Linked DNA regions of Rattus norvegicus. The protein of the gene in region 2 purifies or fractionates together with the protein of the main gene of each other region. This does not show direct contact. Links are inferred from orthologs where the notes say so. Each region holds a gene or a part of one and is shown on either strand. Other genes may lie near its edges.

Evidence for each region.
Region 1: the proteins of Snw1 (region 2) and Chd4 purify together in Homo sapiens (affinity purification with mass spectrometry; 3 studies listed by BioGRID and IntAct, with this or other methods). This does not show direct contact. The link is inferred for Rattus norvegicus from reciprocal best matches to the Homo sapiens genes SNW1 and CHD4.
Region 3: the proteins of Snw1 (region 2) and Prpf19 purify together in Homo sapiens (affinity purification with mass spectrometry; 3 studies listed by BioGRID and IntAct, counting the BioPlex papers as one, with this or other methods). This does not show direct contact. The link is inferred for Rattus norvegicus from reciprocal best matches to the Homo sapiens genes SNW1 and PRPF19.

What each region holds. Positions count from the first base shown.
Region 1 is NC_086022.1:159,594,718-159,598,365, reverse strand, and holds part of Chd4 (chromodomain-helicase-DNA-binding protein 4), read right to left. Parts: exon of another isoform or gene 3,579-3,648; coding exon 3,447-3,578; exon of another isoform or gene 3,373-3,446; coding exon 3,276-3,372; exon of another isoform or gene 2,250-3,275; coding exon 2,058-2,249; exon of another isoform or gene 1,431-2,057; coding exon 1,230-1,430; exon of another isoform or gene 1,050-1,229; coding exon 912-1,049; exon of another isoform or gene 659-911; coding exon 537-658; exon of another isoform or gene 386-536; coding exon 212-385; exon of another isoform or gene 1-211. UniProt on the Homo sapiens protein: ATP-dependent chromatin-remodeling factor that binds and distorts nucleosomal DNA. Acts as a component of the histone deacetylase NuRD complex which participates in the remodeling of chromatin.
Region 2 is NC_086024.1:112,826,366-112,830,013, forward strand, and holds the end of Snw1 (SNW domain-containing protein 1), read right to left. Parts: intron 2,868-3,648; coding exon 2,750-2,867; intron 2,351-2,749; exon of another isoform or gene 1,061-2,350; coding exon 897-1,060; exon of another isoform or gene 813-896; coding exon 614-812; 3' UTR 9-613; downstream 1-8. UniProt on the Homo sapiens protein: Involved in pre-mRNA splicing as component of the spliceosome. As a component of the minor spliceosome, involved in the splicing of U12-type introns in pre-mRNAs.
Region 3 is NC_086019.1:216,965,231-216,968,978, reverse strand, and holds the start of Prpf19 (pre-mRNA-processing factor 19), read right to left. Parts: upstream 2,473-3,748; 5' UTR 2,286-2,472; coding exon 2,267-2,285; intron 240-2,266; coding exon 90-239; intron 1-89. UniProt on the Homo sapiens protein: Ubiquitin-protein ligase which is a core component of several complexes mainly involved pre-mRNA splicing and DNA repair. Required for pre-mRNA splicing as component of the spliceosome.

The DNA.
Region 1 (3,648 bases), on a different chromosome or scaffold from region 2:
TGGGGCTGAGCTAACAGGCAACTGCCACACCATCCTTGTGTTAGACACAGGAAGGTGGAACGAGCAACTACAAGCTCCCGCTCCCAGGTGTGAGCTTTCCTCGGGCCCTGCTTGCTCCTATCGGCAGACATGAAGCTCTGTGGAAGAAACTGCTGGCGGGATGGCGGGTGTCTGTCACGAAGCTCAATTTGCTCCATCCCTCCACACTCACTTTTGCATAGGGCTCAGCTCCACACGCACAATCAGTTCTGTCTTGGAGGGCATGTTCTTGAAGACATCAGCTTTGAGCCGCCGCAACATGTGAGGCCCCAGCATGTCGTGTAGTTTCTTAATCTGGTCCTCTTTGGCGATGTCAGCAAACTCTTCCAAGAAGCCTTCTAAATTGCTTCAGGGGGAAAAGAGTTGTTAGAGAAAAAGAAAAAAGGAAGAAAGGAAAGTAACACGGGAAGTGAGCAACAAGAAGAACAAACATATAGCTAGGAACAGACAGACAGACAGACAGACAGACAGACAGACAGACAGACAGCCACACTTACTGGAACCTCTCGGGGGTGAGAAAGTTGAGCAGATGGAACAATTCCTCTAGATTGTTTTGTAATGGAGTTCCAGTTAGCAACAGCTTGTGTTGGAGTGAGTAACCGTTCAAAACTCGGAAGAACTGGTGAAGAGAAATGAAATTCAAGAAACGAAGGCACCAGAGCACCAGAAAAATCCCAAGCTGTTTCACTGTCCAGTGAATTAAAGCCTCTCATCCCATGGCTGGCATCCTTAAATGCCTGGCCAAAGAAGGGGCTACCAACGGTCAAGAAGAAAATAAAGACCACTTTCCCCTCTTCTCTACTTAGGCTTCTTTCAAAAAGATGACTCTCCCAAGGGACTAGGACTAGAGGCTCTCACCTCCCACTCCTCACCTTAGACTGGTTGTTCTTCAGCCGGTGGGCTTCATCCACAATGAGGCAGGCCCAGTCAATAGAACCCAAGATGGCCATATCAATGGTGATCAACTCATAGGATGTCAGCAGAACATGGAATTTCACAGATGCTTCTTTCTGCACATAACGATAAGCCGGTTACTCACTACTGGTCCACTCCTCAGCACAACTGGGACAAGCAAGCTTTCCCTGCTCCCCAAGTTCTCTTTCTGCCTCACTCAGAGACCTGGTAAGGCAGCAAAGCAGCCCACAGCAGTGACTCCCTGTCAAGTTTCCTCTTCCCTCCCACTGAAATACCTTCATTCGGGAGGCTTTCTTGCCACCACGAATGGCATTATCTTCAAAGGAGAACTCATTTTCCCGGATGATGGCACGGCTGTCCTTGTCACCCACATAGGTCACCACATACATATCAGGAGCCCACATCTCAAACTCTCGCTCCCAGTTGATGATGGTGGACAGAGGCGCGCTCACTAAGAAGGGGCCTTTGGAGTGACCCTGGAAGGAAACAGGCAGAGTCAGGGCTAAGAGCCCCCTCCCTGAACCCCAGACTCCCCCTCCTCCCTGACCCACAGTGAAGCTGACACTGGACACCTGTGCCTCTGACGCCCCTTCATCTGTTACAAACACCATTCACCCCTCTTCCCAAAAGGCAGTTGCCCACCTTGACAAAACCAAACTCCTCCACCTACACAAGAATTTCCTACCACTAAGGCCTTTTACCTCCAGGCACTCAGCCTACCAGGGCTCTGATCCTGCAAAATCTCCACTGTAGGATCTAGAAAGTGGCTCACTGTTTAAAAGCACTAGCTGCTTTGCATAGGTCCCACGTCCAGATCCCAGCACCCACATGATGGCTTATAGTCTGTAATTACAGTTTAAAGAGGTGACCCCTCTTCTGGCCTCCCCAGGTACTGCACATAGGTGGTGCACAGCCATACTTATGGACAACATACCCACACAAAGTAATTAGAAAAAGAAAAGAAAAAAGGATTTGTACTACAGAGCTGTCTCTTCCTATCCCTCTGCAGTATTTCTTTCTCCCTTCCTCCCACTCCTTAAAACACAAGAAAATATAGTCACAAAATACCCACTCCAGACACTAGCGTCTCCCAGCCTCTTTACCTCCTTGTACAGGGAATAGAGGAAGACTGCTGTCTGCACAGTTTTCCCAAGGCCCATTTCATCAGCCAGGATGGTATCGGTACCCTGAGCCCAGGAGAAGCGTAGCCAGTTTAAGCCTTCCATTTGGTAGGGGTGCAGGGTTCCACCTGTGGCATCCAGGTACTCCGGCTGTCGCTCATACTTCACTGTGGGCTGAAGGAGAAGAGAGGTCAAAAGCTGGTAAAGAACCCCCTTCCTGGAAGACTGCTTCCTCCTACACGAGTCCTAGTGGATCTTTTTTTTTTCCTGAGAGCTAAGAGAAACAAAACAAAATAGCCCTTAGGGAAATAAGGCATGGTAAGACCCCCTTTTAACCCTAGTACTTAGGCTGAGATAGAAGGATTGAGTTCAAGACTAGTCTTTGGATCAGGATATACCGTCTCAAAATGTAACAATAAAGAATTTAGTTGCCTTGGAGTTGCCACAGAATCCACCAGGCCATAATGGACAGATCAGATCCAAACCAATGGTCACAGAGAGTCCCAGTTAAATCCAGTGGGTCCCAGACCAAAAAGGCATGAATGTGGGAAAGAGATCTGCAGGGAAGGAAGAATGGGGTGGCTAAAGGAAGGAGGGAGGAAAGAGGGGGCACAGGGACAGTAAGCAGAAAGAACTGTGGACATGTGTGAGCCTCAATACACTTGGGAAAAGGGAGTGATGGGATCCTCACTGTCACTGCAGCATGTGCCTTAGCATCCTTCAGAGGACAAGGCAGCTTATCTAGGCCTCAGGGAGACCTGACACAGACCACTATTCAAAACATGCAAGGCAAAGAAAGGCTCCGGTGTGCCAGGACACTAACTGCTGTCATCGTTAAGACCAGCCAGGTAGAGGCTGGCGCACGTAAGCAATCAAAGCACTTAGGAGGCGGAGACAGGAAATCAGAAGTTAAAAGTCAGCCTGAGCTATATGAGACCTTGCCTTTCTCAAATACATACATGCATACGTTTGTACGCACGCACACGCACACATACACAAGCCCCTTGTATATAAGACCACCTCCTAGTGAACACTGTCCTAACATAAAATATCCCATCTGTGGGTTTTTCCTGATGCTTTCTGAGAGGACAATCTAGATCGTCTCAGCTAGAGTCATCTACAGGTCCTGGAGCTTCACCATGACACTGCAGCGTACTGCCCACACAACAAATACACCATTCCTCTTCCACCCAAACTCACATCAACAGTTGGGGTCTCCGGAGGCCTTTCCAGTTTCCGTAATTTCACCTTCTTAAGCTTCTTGCCAGGTCGCCCTTCCTCACCCCTCATTAACTCCCTAGGAGAGAAAACGGCAGAGCTGCCTCTCGGTCCTTCTGAAGGAGAGCAGTTCCCCTCTTCACAGTCACCTACCTGTGGTTCCAGTAGCTCTGCTTGAACAGGTCGTAGTCCTGTATCTCCACATCCTCACTCTCCCAAGACGCCTGATCGTAGGGTAAGTCTCGCCACTTTATTAAATAGTGAACGTGGCCCTTCTTGTCCACACTATGATGTCAATAAAGAAAAACTCCTCAGAACCAGAAAGCAACTTCTCTCACCTCTCTAGTCAGCCTTG
Region 2 (3,648 bases):
ACTTAGACTTTTTCTAAATGTGTTTTTTTTTTTTTTTTTGAAACTAGTTTGCACTAAGCAAGAACTTGGTTTCCCCACTGCACAGTAGAAGAGTCCAACAGGGCAAATGCATCTGCCAGCACAGTTCGAGTGTATGAGCATCCACCTACTAACCATTTGGGGTAATTCATAAAGTTCTTACAGAAAATTTTACCCCTGGATTAGCAAGGAAGTAGCCTCAATTTTGTCAGGGGCAGTATTTTTTATAAGTGCTGCAAGATTGGAGAGGCACAAACACAGACCATTCTTTATAAAAACTACTGCGAAATAGAATATGCATTGCCTCTATCTCCTGGATGGAAGGAGTGTTGGGATCTATCACCCAGATTTGGTTTGTTTTTTTTTTTAATTTTTTTTTTAAATACAGTCCAGTTGTTATCCCCCTCCCCATCATCTCTCCAAAAATTCCTCTTCCCCTGTCTCCAAGAGGATGCCCCACCCCACCCCCCACCCCCCAGGCTTCCCCATTCTTTGTGGTCTCAAGTCTCTTGAGGGTTAGGTCCATTTTCTCTCACTCTGGCCAGACCAGGCAGTCCTCTGCTGTATACGTCAGATTTAATTTCAAGAGGCCCATCTACTCCTTCCTTCGCTTCTTGCCTTCATGTTCATGTTCCTTGGGGCGACTGCTATCTGAAGGTCTTTTAGACCCACCATGCTGTTTTGCTTCTTCCAAAAATTTGTCCAAACCAAAAGGATCTTCCTCAAACTGAACTGGTCCTTCTCGGCCTCTCTTTCTACCATCTGAACCTGAAAACTCTTTATCAGGAACAAATCTAGGGGGAAAAGAGAAGAAGTTATGAACTATTTCTGTTTTGCTGGTGTAAACAGGAATGAACAGCAACTGTCTGCATTGGTACCTGTTGGTCTTTATCCTGGTTTCGAGGTCATCGCCATACATGTCCTTGTCCAGATTTTTACTCGGCCTATAGATACTCTGAGCCATATCTTTGCCACCTCTCCAGGCTTGATCATAAACATTGTAAATTTCATCTTCTCCACCTGCAAATCCACTGTCCATACCCTGTGGAAAAAATGAATGACACCAAATAAAAATGTATACTTATCCAAAGCTGAATCTAAATGCTTAGGAATTAATAGACACACGTTTACAGCTAATTAAGAAATCGCAACTACAATATTTATGTAAAATAGTAAGTATACAGTTGTTTATACACATTTGAGTTCTTACTTAGAAACTAAAATTAAATCAGAGTATTCATTAGATTAGGTTAATCCCAGCACTAATGAGGCAAGCAGGTGAGTCTCTGCCAGTCTGAATATCACGTTCTAAGACAGCCAGAGCTATATAACATTCCCGGTCTCACACGACAGCAAAGTTCTGACTAACCAAAAATAAAAGACAATGGCTAGGCGTGGTGACGCATAGCTTTAATCCCAACACTCACAAGCAGAGGCAGGCAGATCTGGTTTACAAAGTGAATTCAGGACAGCAAGGATACACCTAGAACCCATCTTCAAAACCCAAAACTGAAGAACAAATAAAAACCCCAATCCAAGAAAAACAAGACAGAAAGTTGGCTGTGTAGAGAAGGAGGGGTGGATCTGGGAGCAGGTGGAGGAGAGTGAATATGGTAAAATTCAATTGTATGAAGTCCTCAGGAAAAAAAGAAAAAGAAAATCAACTAAAAATGTCATTAAAATTGAAGGATTGTATTGTGGGTACTGGATAATGATGCTGAGAAAAGTTACCTCAACTGCCTGAGAATGTCAGTATTAATTAAAGCACAAGATCATAAGGTCCTCAATGAAAATCTTAAAAACTTTAACTCAGCTTTTAAAAGGTTTAAGCTCAAGGTCAGAAGAGATGGCTGCTGTGAAAGATTTACTCCTGTGGCGCCTCCACCCCAACTCCTGCTCAGTCTGGCTGATGCTGCAAAGCAGTTATGAAAGAAGCTTTGGCATCAAAGCATTCAAGGTTGAATCTCAGTTCCATCAATGACTCGATCCTGTCTTAATTATCCATGAGAGGTAATAGGGTGGGTGCTGCAGAGACAGTTCAGTGTTAAAGCAGTTTCTACATAAACATGAGGGCCCAGGCTTGGATTCCTAGGACCCATGTAAATGATAGGTGGGTGTGGAAGCTTGCGTAACTCCATTCTCTGAAGATGCAGACAGGAAATCTCAGAGCAGGCTGGGTAATTCTATCAGTGAGTTCTGGGATGGACTGAGAGATCTGCCTCAGTGAATAATGTGGAAGGCAGAGTGATAAAGACAATTCCCAACATCAATTTCCAACATAAACATATGCATGTACACATACTGCCTACACATGCAAACATGCATACGAATGAAAATGGAAAAATAGGAAAAATAAAGAACGAACCTTCCCCCAAAAACCAATTGTCCGCCTTCATATGTTGTTTGTCCCCCTCCCCTCCATTTTTTCTGAAGGACTGAAATGAATAGACTTGGAACAATGCCAGAAATATAAAAAGTATCAAACAATGCATTGTTGCTTGGAAGATCTTACTGCTATCTCTAATTCTCAAACCATTAAGTCACAAGTTATTCCCAGGAAGAGCTAACATTACACTTACTAGCGTCAATTCACAGCAATACGGAAGTGTAAGCCTTTAAAACAAACCTTTCCTTCCCAACTTGCTTTTTAGTTATAGTGTTTTGTCACAGCAATAGAAACCCTAACTAAGAAGAACACACTAGATAAAGGTGTTTTCTAAGTTCCTCATACCTTGGACTGGTTGAAGAGCCTTTGGTCATACTGGACTTCATTGGAAGTTCGAGGATTGGGCACACCAAGAGCAATGACTTCACTGATATCTCGATTTTCATTTCTCTGTAGTTTGGACCTATTTGAAATACATATTTATTAGTATACTTTCACAGACAAGAGGAATATATGGAATATAAACACAGTCACTCTCAGAAACAAAGGAAATGTTGTATTTGTGTCTCACGAGCACATATGGTCTGATGACGCACAATCATGCTAGCAGCCCTGGGAGTACTTCAGATGCATGCTTAGAAAAGGTGGGTATGAGTCTACAGTTGGGTCCTACTAGCTCAGAGGACACACAGGAGACTGGTTCTTGGATACAAATGGATACACCACACACCTTTAATCCTTCTCAGTAGGCTTCACTCAGCTCTGACCTAATATGCACTAATTTTTATCCTACCTGGATTCCATGACACAACATAGAAAACATGACAGTGACATTACATTCCTTTGCTTGACTTCAGACATTACACTAATCCTCCGCTGTTTCGGTATAAATGCAATCAGTATCTCCATAAAAACCAAGGTGACTGTCCACAATTGACAAGATACTCGTGTCTTAAATATTTCCGTAGACAATTTTATTTTCATCCAGTTACAACTTCACGGCCACTTTACTGGATTTAGAAGCCCAGTTTCTGTACAGATCCACTGTCACTGTACACTGTGGCAAGTCCACAATTCACTGATCACATCCATATTTCATTTCTCTTTTCCATGGGTTCAGTTTTGCAGAGGAGAAATATGCCAATTAAAGAAGGAACCACGTTGGTAGAGTCAGGTTAAGATTTAAACTTGAAGCTGGGTTGGACCAGCTTCTAGCATCATCAGAGCGTGGACAATTACTCATA
Region 3 (3,748 bases), on a different chromosome or scaffold from region 2:
GCCACCATCTTCTCCACCAGATTGGCACCACCTCCCACTCTTGAAGGCTGAGCTGAGATGGCCTTGGACCAAGGCTATTGGGCAGGCACCTTTGATGTCGATGAGCTGCTCCTCTGAGAGAGGCTGGTTGTTGATAGGATCTGTGCCATTCTCTGCAATGTACTTCTCAATGAGTCGCCGCTCATACACATGATTAGAGACAGGGGACACGCATGGGTGCTCTGGCACTTCGTTGGAGACTATAGAGAAAGACAGGTAGTGAGCCACAGGGTAAAAGGAGACTCTTCACTGTGTCAGCCCCAACAAGACCCTGTCCTTTATAGTCAGCTATCAGGAAGCAAGGTCTGTGACAGCAAGCCTGCCTGTACTTGGTCCCACAATGCTTGCCAACTACTTACCTAGAATCTCTGGTCTGCTGATAATAAAAGTCAATAAATAATAACTGCCCAGATCCTATGTGCCAGTGCGGTATAGAGTGGTCGATCTCTTTTTTGAACCCAGATGACTAGGCACATGACAGAGAAGTACACAGAGCACAACTCAAACTTCTGTCATCCATCGGGAGCCCGAGATGGATCAACAAGAGAAATTACAAAGCCATGTGACAAGCACTGATAAATTAAAAACAAACAAACAAAAACTTTCCATTGCTCTGCTACTACGTGCCAGGCAGAATTCTATTCTAAGCGCTCGACAGAATAGTCTGTGTACCCTTGAAGATGGGACTTACAGCTGTCACTGACCTCCAGGACAATGCAGAAGCGAAGCACACACTTGATAAACATCAGAGCAGATTAAATAAGTGCAAAAGTACTGGGGCTCAGAAAAGAATATCCCAAAGTATGGAGCCCTGGGCATGCCAAACTACCAAAAAAAAAAAAAAAAAAAAAAAAAAAAAAAAGCCTCAAAAGCAAGAACCAAGGTCTCTCTGACCTTCTCAGACCCCCCTTGCTTCTCTACCTTCCCCTAAAAAAGACAACTGGATCACTCAAGCAGACAAGTGAAAGCTACCTCCACATCAGACTCTTCTGAAGGCCGCTCTAAGATAGTGACTTATCACATCACAAAACAGCTCTTATTCATCACATAATTCTATTCGCCTTCCCATAGGTTGTGAGTCAACAACCCAAGGCTTCAAGCTCCTATCCTTCTCAGTGTCTTCCCTTAGAGTCACTTAATTTTGCAGGACTCCATGCACATGTAATTAAGTATTTGTTTCAGTACTTAAAATCCCTATTTTTGTATATGGCTTTCCTGTCCTATTCTGTAGGTTTATCTCACTACTCAACGACTGAAGCTTTCTGAGAGCTTTCCCTCTCCTACCAGAGGAAGGATGGCCCTGGGCATGTAAGAGTGTTGTTTCAAAGATGAAAAGGAAACAAATCGTTCATAAATACTTTGCAAACTGCTATTTCTTCACTATGAGACTTCCTTTTCTGTTTGTCATTTCCCTCCTTCCTTTCCCTCTTTGAATTAATGGCAACGTTCTGAGAGGGAAAGAGAGAAAGTGAGGAAACTAGTAATGGGGTAAACAACTGGGAGAACACCCGCAATGCCGTAATACAACACCCAAAGACAAGACCATATACTACATGGGAAAACCATGGATCCAGGCTCAAAGAACCGAGCTCCATGGCTTAGTTTCGTCGCACACCCCTGGATAAACCCATTCTTCAAGTCTTCCGACAACCTCTGTAACACACGGATCTTTATTTCCCTTCAGACAATTCTTGTAAGCATAAAATGAGATCACCGTTTGGAAATGCATCGTAAATCAATACAGGTTTTCTAAACATTCGCTGTTTTCATTAGTCATACTGCGCGAGGCTAGAAGCCAGACACCTGGCTTCCAGCCCTGGTCTCGAAGTCACTGCATGATCTCTGCAAATCAGAAACTCCAATTCCTAAGCGAGGTTTCCCAAGCAATATCCATTGCAATGCTTTCAATTTTGCAGGTGGGGAAACTGAGGCCCAAACCCGCTAGAGCCCAGATCACAGTCGGAGGCGGATCCTGGACACGTCCTCGGGTTTTTGACACCAAGAGCTGTTTTTCACTGCACCAGCTCCTCCCCCCACTTCTGCTCAGGCCTGTCTCAGCTCTGTAAAACGACGCTGGCTTCAAAAGACCCCTGAGACAGTCATTCTTCCCAGCTACGTGAATTGCGCATCACTGCGCAAATGCACCCTGCACGCAGGGCCGGGGGCTCTAGGGCCCGAGCCACAGCGGCCGCACACGCTCCCGCCTCCCGCCGCAGCCAGCACTCACTCGAGCAGATCAGGGACATGGCGCCGTCGTAGCGCTGCTGCCAGTCGCCTCACAGCGGGTTCCCGGACTAGCTCTGCAGCCTCCGCGGGCCACTTCCGGTCCCCCGCCGCTTCCGGAGCGCTCGGACGCGGGTAGACAGCTGCCCGGCGTGGCGATGCTCGCACAACTGCTTCACGTGGGGAGGTGGCCGGTGGCGCGCCTCAGCCTTCTGCAGCTAACGGAAACTGCCCTTTCCCAGCATGCAACCGAGCAGGAAAAGGCCCGCCTCGGAACACTCGGCTGTTTCCGCATTGGCTCGGCTTCTTCCGGCGAGTTTTCCAAGAGGCCTGAGGCGGGAAGGAGAGCAGAAACTACATTTCCCATGAGGCTGCGGGGATCTTAAACCTAGGAATCTGGCCAAGGCTGTTTTTGAGGCGGAGCTGCTGTCACCCAGGGAACACTAGTCTTTGAAATGTTCGTGTGCAGGACAGATTTCTCAGGAGCTTGTAAAAATGCAGATTCCTAGGGTCTGCCTTAGAGAGTCTGTAGGTATGATTCTGAGCCTGTGTTCCTTGGCTGCCTTTTGAGAAACAATGTGACCCCGTAAATAAAGCACAAATGAGTAAAGAAGCTAACACTGTCTAGGTTCTGTCTCTACTCTTGCTCTGGGAATTTGGGCAAGTCCCTGGCTTCGTTGCCTGCTACGTTTTAAATATAGTCTGTTTTCTAAACTCGAGGGAATTTAATTCCTGGCGTTTATGTGAATATTTAAAAGAATGGAAAGTTGATGGGTGTGTTTGCACAAGTCTTTAAGCACAGGCACTGAGCTGCAGAGCCAGGCAGAACTCCGCGTTCAAGTCCAGCCTGATCTGTACAGTGAGTTCTAATCCAGGACAATCAGGGCTGTGTAGAGAAAGCATGTCCCAATAAACAAACAAACCGTAAGAGTGGAAAGTTAACAGGACTATGGTGTTTTTCTGTGGTTTCATTTTTGTTTCTGTTTTTCAAGACAGGGTTTGTGTGTGTGTGTGTGTGTGTGTGTGTGTGTGTGTGTGTGTGTGTGTGTGTGTGTATAGCCCTTGGCTGTCCTGGAACTCAGTCTGTAGACAAGACTTGACTCAAACTCAAAGATCTTCCTGTCTCTGCCTTTTGAGTGCTGAAATCAAAGGGATGTGTCATTACTATCTGGCTTAACTGTGGCATTTAGAGGTGGGATCTTTGGAATTAGAATAGGACATAACAAGAATCCTGGTGGGGTTCTTATAGGAAAGAAAGTGAACAGGCACAAATGCATGAGTTGACTTCCATAGTTGTGACACCAGAAGAGGCCCTAGACATTGCCTGTGTCATTCCCTGTGAACCTTGTGCTTCTAGAACTTTGAGCCAAGAGGGCCCTCTTTTCTTTAAAGTAGCCTGCCTCCGATATTTGTTAGAACAACGGTTCCCCGCCACCTACCAACTGTTTATGTTTTCTCTAACAAAAACCAGACCGGCCGCTGGGCC